Linked DNA regions of Drosophila melanogaster. The protein of the gene in region 1 interacts with the protein of each later gene in a pairwise test. Each region holds a gene or a part of one and is shown on either strand. Other genes may lie near its edges.

Region 1 (5,914 bases):
CGATAGAAGCCACCACGGAGGTTGGTAATGCTTGAATTCTAACGAGAATCCTAACCAATAACATTACTACTCCAAATTTCAGGTGGGCCTTCCAAGTCCCGTGCCAGCACAGCCGAAAATCCTCAGCCGGACTGACCGCACTGTAACCATCGAGTTGTCGCCCATTCGGAATGACAATGGACCGCTGAGCAAACTGCTCGTCATCGTGGAATACGTGGACAACGCCCTGAGTCAGCCATTCGATGCCCAGCTCCTGGGCAGCTGGCAGCAGGCTCAACAAGATGGAGTGCCCTACTACATAGCCGCCGAATTGGACTACGATCGACCGGAGGACAATCGCACCCGGCGCTTTGTGGTCGGCGATGGCAAGCGTTACGGACGATTTACCAATAAGCCGTTGGATCAACCAGATGCACATGTCCACATCAGTCTCGGATTGGTGAGTAATGCATTAAATTCGAATGAATATCTCTGTAACTATTTATATTCTAGGTGAGCACACTGGAGGGCGTTACCAAGACGATGTACAGTCGTGGAACTCACGACCAGCATGTGACATCCCTAGACGACTTTAGTTACGCCACCTTTGAGAAGGGTCAATCCTCGGTGGTTGCCCTAGCTGTCACCTGTGTGATCTTCGGCTCCTGCCTCCTGCTCAGTCTTATTGCCTACTTCTATCTGCGCTACAAGACCTGCCGCGGGCGACGATTGACTGGTGGCAATACGCACGAGATGACGCTGCAAACGCCCATAATCGAGCGGGAAAATAACGGATACCTTGTGGAGGACGATCCACTGCCACACTCGCCGGAAAACTTCAAGCAGCAGTTGCAACAGTTGGTGGAAGGATACGAACGGATACCAAGGAATGCACTACGACTAAATGTGAACGATGTGATCGGAGACGGACGCTTTGGTGAGATTATAACCGGAAAGGTTTCCACAAACGATTTTGCCAGAGATTGCACCCTGCACGTGCTCTGTCTGGACGATCTGAATGGTACTACACAGGCACAGTTGCTGAGAGAACTACGTCAGTTGTCTCAATTGAAGCGCCAGGAGCATTTGCTAGATTTCTATGGAGTATCAGCAAGTCCCGATTGGTTCTACCTAATCTTCGAGCAGCAACGCATGAGTCTAAAGAGAAAACTGGTGGAGAGTCGCCTGATGGCACCGTCGCCACGCTTGACTTCCCTCTCTGAGCAGCTAGTGCTGCAGTGGATCTACGAGCTTGCCAGTGCCATGAATTATCTATCCAGCTGCCAGGTGGTGCATCGACAGCTCTGCTCGCACAGCGTCTTCGTTACCAGCGATTTCAAGCTAAAACTGAGCGTCTTTGGACCGCTGCCCTACATGAACATTGCTCGCCAGCAGCCAGACCACAACCGGTGGCTGGCCCCGGAGGTGCTGCGCCATCAGCATCACCATTCCACCCGTTCTGATGTCTGGTCCCTGGCCTGCGTGGCGTGGGAATGCTGTGCCCTTGGCGGTACTCCCTATGCCAATGCAGTGGCAAGTAACCAACAGCTTCTAGAGGCCATTCGGGCTGCAGTGCGTCCGGCGCAGCCAGCCTACGTCTACGGGGATCTCTACCAGCTGCTGCTCAACTGCTGGCAGCTGGAGCCGAGCGAGCGGAGCAGCTGTGAGGACGTGGCCTTCGGAGTACGTCAGCTGATGACCTCACCGCGTCATGCCCTCAGCTTTGATCGAGTGGCCGGCGGACTAGACACCCTGCCTCCGTACCTGCCGCAACTGGAAGCCGTTGCTACGATGGGCTGAGGTGCAGCCGAATAGTATAATTAGCTTTAGTCAGCGAGAGACCACATTCGCATAGAGTAGATTTCGGTTCTGAGTCACTGCTGCTAAGAGAAAACATCACTTCATTTCGATTTTAGATGAGTTCACTTTCAGTGTTCTGAAGAGAAAATAATTTGTTTTAGAATTTACACATTGATTTAATAAAGCTCATAAATTGTTATTATCCATATAATATTAGAAGTGAGCATTTATGAAACACAATTCGATGTTTATTGTTAATACGCACAAACTTCCTACAAATAAAAGAGTGTTCTATGCCAGAGCTTATCAGATCTATAAGGTAGTTAATTGCTTATCTACAACCCGAAAGAAAGGAATCGACTTTCCCCCACGCGAAACAAAGTTCAAGCGAACGTGCTCGATGGAGAGCGCGATAGATAAAAGACTACTGACAGTCTGGCCCCCAAAATTGTGTAATAAATTGAGGGATCCATAGCGAATGGATCTACCAACAGACCAGCGACTGTGATTCCCCCGCCGATCGCTGATGTTGCACAAACCAGACAAAAGCGAAAACTAAAAGCAAAAAAAAAACCAAGGGAGAGAGCCGCGAATGCGAAACTTTGATCGCTGGCGAGCAGCAATTAATAATAGAAAATAAACGGCGGTGTTGCTTAAGTGTGAGTGGATCAAAATTGACGATTAATCAGTTTAAAGGTCTTGCATTGCATCTATTGTTTGTTATGTTGTTTAAGAATTAATTAGGGAAATTGTTGGCAGCAGCCTAGATGCGGTTACATGCATTATTAGTCATCCGAAATAGTAGGGCACTTTATGTATGTATATTCCATTGGTTTGGACAATCATCTTATAATGAAGCTACATAGCAAAAAAAAAAAAAAAATCTAAATCTGTGTATATTCTTCCGATATGCACTTTTCAAATGAAATGTTCAAAATTCGTTATCAGTACTTAAAATTTCTCACTATGTACAAGCTTATCTCGGGATCCTTCCCAAAGAAGATAAGCCATTGTTTCTCTTGTCGACGTGTAACTATTGGATCCACCAAAAAACCCAAAGCACATGGCTCACCCGGAATTTAGAGCGACTTTCTTATAGAGTATATGGTAAATACGGTAAATGAAGCGCAACGATATCCATAGCGACTTTTGGACGCTTACCTTGCCCGCAATTCAAGGTGAAATGACGACGAACAATTGAAGTCACTGAAATGTGTATACATTCCGAGCAAATGGGCAATTATTATTAATAAATCGAGCTGAATGGCTGCTATCGGAATTCAGGGGCTTCGACTGCCGACCATGCTCATGAATATGTGGAAGATGATGATGATGATGAGGTTCATCCGGTATTGGCCAACTTTGCGAGTGTTTTGCATTCGCCTGGTTAAATTGTTATTGTTTTTGTTACATATACACACATGGAGATTATGAGGAATCCAAGGAAACTGGTTGCTCACACACGCACACCAACGCACTGCGACGGAGCCACTCACGCACACTACCAAATGGTCGGCTAACTGCGCAAATAATGCGGCTTCTGTGTCGGCCTTTGTTACTCACTTTACTTAACCATTTACATCGGACACTGGACTTCACTGCGCTGCGATTTTTCGACACTTTGGAAGCAGAAAAGTACGTATTTTGTTTGTGCTCTGCCAATGGTGTGACCGTACACCGTTGGGCGAAAAATCACCTATAAGTGTGGGGGTGAAAATTCATTAGCCAACACTGAAATGCTTATCGATAACATTTAGCTATTTTTAGTATTAGCTAACTGGTATATATTAACGGTCATCATAAGGTCACACTGCAAACGGTTAAACGAACGGCCACATTGTGTTGGACCGATGATGTGGATTTAAAAGTTAAATATTTCAAACTTAGTTATAGCAAATAGCTATGGACATCACCCAGAGCTTCAAGGCCAGCGTAATGACGGTGCGCCTGCAGCGCAAGGCCGAGCTGGCCGGAAAGGCCAAGCCCGCCACAGTGCCGACAAAAACTGGACCAATTGGCCCAAAGGATGACTTCGCCAAGCAGGCCAAGGAGGTGTGCAACAAGATCACTTCGCTGCGCAATGTGCTGATCGAGAACCGCACCGCCTACATGCGCATTGGCCAGCACCTCAAGTCCGCCGCACACATGACCGACGCGCAGCGGGATCTGATTGATCGCGAGTCGGAGAAGTTCGTCACCTTTTACACGCAGCACCTGGCCAAGATGCGCAGCGATTGGAAGAGCGCCAAGCGGAAGCCGCAGGAGCGTCAGCACATCGACGCCGTGCTGGACCTGCTGGTCAGCTATTTGCACAGCGTGGAACAGATCTATCTGGACCAAAAGAAGTACCGTGTGCAACACGAACTGGAAACCTATAGGCTGCTCAAGCTGGCGGCGGACAAAAAGAAGATACCAGTGCGTCCGGCGGGCAGCAACAGTGGCAAGCTGGGCAGGCGCCAGGTCAGCAACGATGACAGCGAAGCCACGAAGTCATCTTCACAAGCAAATGGCAACCACGACGAGTCCGCCGACAATGACTGGAATAACGACGCCTGGGGCGACTGGGATGAAGACGAGGAAGGCGACGAGGTGGACGATCACGATGGCGAGAAGGGCAAGGAAGCCAATCAGGCCAATCAACACAAACCGCGTACGCGCAAACGAAGCAAAGCCAACAGATCGGATCTGAACAACTCATCCTCCAAGATGGCTCTGGATGAGGAGCTCCAGCAGCAGCAGGAGGCCGACGATGACGATCCCCTAAGCGCCGAGGATGTGCAGCTCTTCGAGGCGGAGAACGTACACATCTACAACTTTCTGCAGGGCGTCTCCGAGGAGGTGGAGCAGATCGAAAAGAACGTGGTAGACATTGCCCAACTGCAGGACATTTTCACCGAAAAGGTAAGATGGCATGATAACACAAGTCCCAAGGAATCCTTGCTGTTCTTAACAACGATATCTTTAGTTTAATTTTGGTGAGAACATATTGCTCCATATTGCCAAGAATACTTAGTGGGTTTAAGTGGCTGCCCATATGTTTGTCGACTTAATCCTTCAATTAAAAATATTAATTGGCTTCGCTAAAATCCACATCCTTCGCGATTACAATGGATGTATAAGCCGGGCTCTTATTAGCATGCAATTAATTATTAACTAGATCCAGATAGATCCACGTCCTAATCTCATTTAATCCTCTTAAATTTCCCTTTCCCTTTTGTAGGTCGCCATGCAACAGCACAATATCGACAGGATAGTTAGTGCCGTCGTGGGCACCACGGAAAACGTCAAGGACGCCAACGAGCAAATCCGGCAGGCCACTCAACGAAATGCAGGACTACGCGTGTGGTCGCTGTTCTTCCTGCTGGTCATGTCGTTCTCCCTGCTCTTCTTGGACTGGTACTACGATTAAGTGAAGTCCCCAAATTTATGTGTAACCCACCCAATTTAGGGAATGATAAATGCAAAAATGTTTTGTTATCGTTTGATCGCACTAAAAGCATATTTTGTTTATTACATAATTTATAAATAAAAGGAAAATATTTGTTTAGGCTATTCAACTGCCTTGTTTCAATTCAATGAAACCTCGTACAACAATATGGAACTAAAATCGATTTGAGCGCCTTGCTCACACATGTCTCAGTAGTTAATTTAAATTCTACACCAAAATGTGTTTTAGTGTGTTGCTTGGTACATTGTTTATATCTAGGTCCTTAGTCATATTATTTTCATTAAACGCTCTTCAAAAAAATATATATATATATCTAACTGGGAACGGAAATCAGCAATAAGTATGTATATGTATATATATGTCTAAGGCCTAAAGTTAACCTTTGCGTATTTCTTTCAGTTGGTTTCATTACATGAATGTCTAGATTCTAACTAGCTTAGGTCTAATATTTTGTAGCCTTAAGATTTGTGTCTGAGGGAGTGTATCCTTGGCTTAGTCGCTAGGTGTTCTTTTGTTTTTAGTGCAATATGGGATTGCATTCAATGCAGTCTGCTGGTTCTTTTGTTTTCTTTTCATATTGTTTAGAATAAGAGTTAAGAGTTACTTAATGATTGGCTCTCCAATGGGATAAATGGAAGCTATTCCCCACGGAGTGTGGTAATAGTGTAGGAAGGCGCCGATATTATT
Region 2 (5,677 bases), on another chromosome or scaffold:
AAATCTCTACACCGGTTAAACGAAGGCGATGCATAACTGGTTTTTGATTTGTAATGGTCTGATGTTCTAGTTCGATCCCATACACTCAAATCTAATCGCTTGTAGTCAGTAAAGATACCTTTGGCCTAGAACAATGTATTTTGATACAACCTGAATGATATGTGGCTTCATACGGTAGACGAGAGTGAATATTTTAGATTTCGTTCATGATTATCGTCAAAGAATTGACTTCAACATCAATTTCTGAATGGTTTTGAAGAAAATAATATTTTCATAAAATTACATCACGAATTTATAAATTAAAAACAAAAAATTCATACAAATTCAACAAAGCTAGTCACAATTTAAAATGAATCCACATCTTCACAGATGTATTCAGCCCACAATCAAAATGTTAAAACTTTAGCTCATATTAAATCTCGATGTAGCTTACAACCCTACAAGGGGGTACATACATATATGTGTATATCCGAACACCTGGTATTGCGGCCCTGCTTCGGCTCGGGCACACTGTTCCACCGCTCGCCCCTTTTTTTGGGGTGGTTCCGACTCGCAAGCAGTAGTACTTTCGGAGCGACAGACCAGACCGGTTTGTTTGTGTTTTGGTGCCGTGAAAAATCAATCGAGAGCAGAGCAGCTGCAGCAGGAAAATGGCATCCGTGCGAGGCAACTCCGTGTACCAGGGCGTCTACGGGGCTCTGAGGACCCTGCTCCACCTGACGGCAGTCGTGCAATTTGGCTACGGCATCTATTACGACTACAACTACGTGCAGTTCCCCACCAGCGAGCCAGAGATGAGGATCCATCATCCCTGGGGGGGCAAATTCAAATACCTAACGTTCCTGGATGCGGTAATATCCATCTCCCATTAGAATCACGAACGCAGCGTGGTTTAAAGTTCACTCCGATTGTTACTTGTACGCACGCATCTATTAAGATACACAGAGAAAATGAATAGGACAGTAGTTAGAATCATGGGCTTTTCTTGAGTGATGAAGAGGATTTGTCAAGGTCTCCAGTGTATAAAAGTTAGAGCTTTTTGAAGATCTTATATGGAGAACTTTCGCTAAAGCAGTTTTTACAATAAATATATATATATACCATTCCACTGCAAAGCAACTAATTGAATCCCTCCAAATTCAGTGCTTTACTAACAAACTCACATCTCGCCTCCTATTGTCGCTGAAATTGTACAGGAAATGCTTGTGCAACGTTTTTTCGCTAACTGTAATTCCTTCCACTTCACTTAAGCAACCCTTCAAATCTAGCCGCTTTCGCATTATCTCACACACGTCAAATGCTCTTGCACTTACAGATAATTCAGGCACTGTACTATATTGTATCGCTGGTCAACGATTTCGTGGGCACTAATGAGCTGACACCCAAGAAACCTCCGGCGGTTCGCAGGTTCAAGGACTGGCTGATGGCTACATTGGCCTTTCCAGTGGCTATCAATGTGGGCGTGACCTTCTGGACACTGTACGCTATCGACAGGGAGCTAGTCTTCCCCAAGGTTCTGGACCCCGTGTTCCCCAGGTAAGACCTCGAAAGCTGGTGATATCAAGGTGGCCTGGCTGGCATAAGGCATATTCTGCTCAACAAATTGAATCATGACCAGATTAGCATTCTAAGCATGTCTAATTCAAGCCATATCCATTTTCTATACCACTGACATGCCTATTTACGGTATTGTGTTAATTGTGTTTCTTTATATCCAGGCTTTTTAAGTTCGATTTAATTGGAACTATATCTTTCAATTATATATATATCCTAACAAGTACTCATACATTTGAAGGAATTAGATCAACGTTTTTCCTTTCATTTCAGTAATAAACCATCTTCATAAAATGCTACTTAGACACTAAACCTTAAGACCCTATAATCTCGTTTTGGGGCTCTGGTTTTACTTTCAAAGTAATTAATTTATTCAGATAGCTTGCTACGACAAAGCTTGAAAGATGTGTACGTCATAATATATTTAGGGATAAAATTAAAAAAGTGGTCTGAAAAGTCTTGATTTCACCCATTGTTTTTTCATGACACTCTGATAATATCTTCGCTCGACTCTTTCAGCTGGCTCAACCACGTCCTGCACACCAACATAGTGGTTTTCATCATCCTGGAGCTGTTCATCTCGTACAGGTCGTACCCAAAACGAAGCCAAGGACTCGCAGGACTGGCCATTTTCATGGGCGCCTACCTGGTTTGGATTCACGTGGTGAAGCACTACTCGGGTGTGTGGGTGTATCCAGTGCTCGAGGTTCTCCAGCTTCCGCAACGCATCCTGTTTTTTGCGGCCGTCGTTGGATTCACGCTGTCACTTTACCTGCTGGGCGAGTTCCTCAACAATACCGTCTGGGCCAAGGAAGTGAAGTTGGCCAAGCGCAAATCCAACTAGGAGGCTGTGACCCGTTTCTGTTCGATGTAGTTGCGTTAATTAGCCACAAAATACAAATAGTGATTGACAGGTCTCGATTATACATTTTGCTCATATTGTTCGATCTTCTCAGCCAAAGAAATTTTTCATAAGTATGTAAAATCGTACTGCAAAGTTAACTGAAGAAGGCGTACAAAATATGTGAGAAATAATAAACGAAACTTGAAACATCAACTCGATAATATATTTTCCAGTAATATTGAATTCGGAGTCTTTAATCATAATATGGAAACCCGTTTGCTAATGATATTCATTATATTTTTATTACGCATACATTGTAACTGAAATTATAGCCGTAGTTTCCATTGAGCGCGCGCGTCTTTCGATAAGTTTACTAGACTAACCAAAATACAAAAATGCCTTCTCGATTAAACTTCTCATATCAAGCACACTGATTCAACGCCATCTTTGAATACCACTGTTATTCAATTCTAGTACCATAATAAAGCGATTAAACTCTTCATCAGCTGCGAAAACTGTTTTAAGGTGGGAAGCTTGGAATAAACTGCTTTTCAAGATCAGAGAAACGTCAAGTGGCGCTATCATATCGATTTGGCTTTAAAAAGCTAGTTCTAGCTTAAAAACGCCTCCTTGCTGGAATGAAACTCGACGTGTGTTGCGCCCTAATCAGCTGTTGGCTAGCTTTATTTGTTTTGTTTTGCTCAGCGTGCGGTGCCCTTTGCACCTTTTCTGGAGGAAATGGGCAAGAGCAAGAAGCAGGTGCGCGAGTTCAACGCCGCCAAGGAAGCTGTCGAGGCCACTAAAGCCCAGTTGAACACTTGCAACGATGCCTATACGAGCGGTGCCTTCAAATACCTGAGATTCCTGGTCCATCTCCTGGCGGCAGCGCAGTTTTCGTATGGGATATACTTTCACTACTTCCGGGTGCATTGGCCCACGGATTTGCTAGACGAGGATGAACTGAAGGCGCGGTGGGGCGGCAAGTTCAAGTACCTTACCTTCTTGGACGTCATTCTACAGGCCATCTACCACTCATTGGCTCTGCTGAACGATCTCTTCGGCGATAACAATGTCTCCGGGGATTCAAAATCCATGTTGCGATCGGTGAGGGACTATGTGTTCGCCGCCTTTGCCTTTCCTGTCGCCCACAATGTCTGCCTCTCGTTTTGGGTCATCTACGTGTGGGACCGTGAGCTCATCTTTCCCTCAGCGCTGGATGCGATTTTCCCCAGGCAAGTGTTTATGTTTTTCCGCCGGTTTAACTTGCGTACAATGCACAATGTTAGTCTGCTGGAGTCTCTTTTGTTTCGAGCCTGTCTAAACTTTCTGTTCATCAGGCGAGGCGAGTTTTGATTTACCTGTGTTTCTCAATATTTGCAGCTGGTTGAATCACGTGGTACACACGAATGTGGCCCTTTTGGCCATTATGGACCTGTTTACCTGCTTCCGCCGCTATCCGAGTCGATTGGCAGGCATCACGGGCAACGTCTCCTTCATCCTGCTTTACATCATCTGGCTGCACATTGTTCGCTACTTCAGTGGCGAGTGGGTGTATCCCATTCTGGAAGTGCTGCCCGCATACCTGCGCTACGTGTTCTTGGCACTACTTGTGGGGTTCAACCTGGTTTGCTATCTGCTCGGGGAGTTCGCCAACAACGTCGTTTGGGGTCCGGAGTTTAAGCTCCTAAATCAACAGAAATTAAAGCAAGGCTAGGACTCGAGGATTTAAAATCGTTTATTAGTTACACAAATTATTATGTATAATTTTGTAAACTTGAAGGCACTTTCTGAGGTACGATTTGTGTGCCCAAGAGGCTTATTTATATCGTACTTAAATCTATAATCTACAATCTAAAGTCCTGTACCCACGGCAAAGAAAAATAATGAAAATAAATTATTATCCTCTTTGGCATTTACTTTGGCGTGAGTACCAGGATTAAGGAAACAGTCATTCACAAACGTACACAGAGATTCGAATGCTTACAAGCTAGATGGGGTGATGAATCTGTAAAATAAAGTTGCAGCCTAATGACTATGAGTATTCGTAATTCGTAGTTCTAGTTTCGCTCAGTCTGTTCCAGTAATCGATTAAGAAGAATCTAAATGTTCATCGCATGTAAACTGCTCTGGCTTGTGTACTACAATTTCGTATTTGTTTGTTTTAAATATCATTTGGGTTTCCAATTCTAGTGAAGCGATATATTCTTATAAATCGTTGAACAGTGAACATAACAATATTACGATTTCGTAAAATAGATAAGATTGTACGATTATTTTCAGCGCTAACAATTTGATTTCTTAGAACAAAAACTACAATATTGTAAGAGTTTTTGAACCTTAAGTAAATGCATCAATTGCTTATTTAGTCTTGCTATTTTGAAGGCAGCAATAACATTTTGAGTTTGTCCGACTCGCTCATAAACGTGGGCTCCCTTTGATGCCGATGGGAATGACCCAACAAGCCCTGCAGCTCCGTTCCTCCGAAATCCTCATTGGCTGCTTCAGTTCTTTGTCTGCTGGCTGCGTTTAGGAGTCGCATGGCCTGCTGCAGTTCGTCTTCTCCGTAACTGGGAACTAGCTCGAAAGGATTAGCCTGTATGCCCACATCGCAGCTGGTTTTGCTGTTTCTACTATGTGGTTTGCCCATGGATATTCCAGAAAAAGAGCTGTTAAGAAGGCTTCCTACGTCCAAAGCCACATCCAGCTCTTCAGAGGAGCAGCTAAGTGAGTCATTAGACCGATACTTTACACAGTCCTTCCTGAAATCTAGATCAGCAGCAGGGTTCTTGAGATGTCTCTTTTGGGACTTTTTTGACTGACTTCTTGCGGAATTTCGGGAATGTCGGTTAGAATTGGATTCATTAGATTTTTTTATGTTTTTAAGAAAGTTCTCCAATGCCACCTGTTTGCTATTTGGCAGTTCTTCAATCTTTATTCCGTCGTGATCATCCTCACTTATTTCCTGCTGCTTTACAACCACGTTAAGATCCTGAATCTTTTGGGATGCTCTGGAATTATCCTCCTCCGAACTAGAGCTCATATCTTGATTTTGGAGGAATGGGAATATAAAATCGCCATTTTTCTGCAGGAATTCATTAAGAATAGAGGGATCCAATCCGGCATTAGCAGTCCTTCGCTTCATGGAGCTGGTGTAATTGTGTTGTTTCTTGGAGCTGTGATGAGCAAACACGCCCACTTTGTGACTAGCATTGGGATAGGTCGTTTTCTTGAGCGCGATGACCTGCGACTCCACTGAAGTACTGCTTTCCCTTCTCCTAC

Evidence for each region. Proteins that work in one complex are often made in the same cells at the same time.
Region 2: the proteins of Syx18 (region 1) and CG11601 interact in a two-hybrid assay, tested with the Drosophila melanogaster proteins (one large-scale study listed by BioGRID).

What each region holds. Positions count from the first base shown.
Region 1 is NT_033777.3:24,623,241-24,629,154, reverse strand, and holds Syx18 (syntaxin 18), read left to right. Parts: upstream 1-3,592; 5' UTR 3,593-3,681; coding exon 3,682-4,680; intron 4,681-4,999; coding exon 5,000-5,188; 3' UTR 5,189-5,353; downstream 5,354-5,914. Other genes in the region: wsck, read left to right, coding at 1-20, 83-439, 493-1,779.
Region 2 is NT_033779.5:280,607-286,283, reverse strand, and holds CG11601 (uncharacterized protein), read left to right. Parts: upstream 1-3,088; 5' UTR 3,089-3,136; coding exon 3,137-3,630; intron 3,631-3,778; coding exon 3,779-4,112; 3' UTR 4,113-4,614; downstream 4,615-5,677. Other genes in the region: CG3625 (uncharacterized protein), read left to right, coding at 651-851, 1,316-1,536, 2,074-2,398; smo (smoothened), read right to left, coding at 4,770-5,677.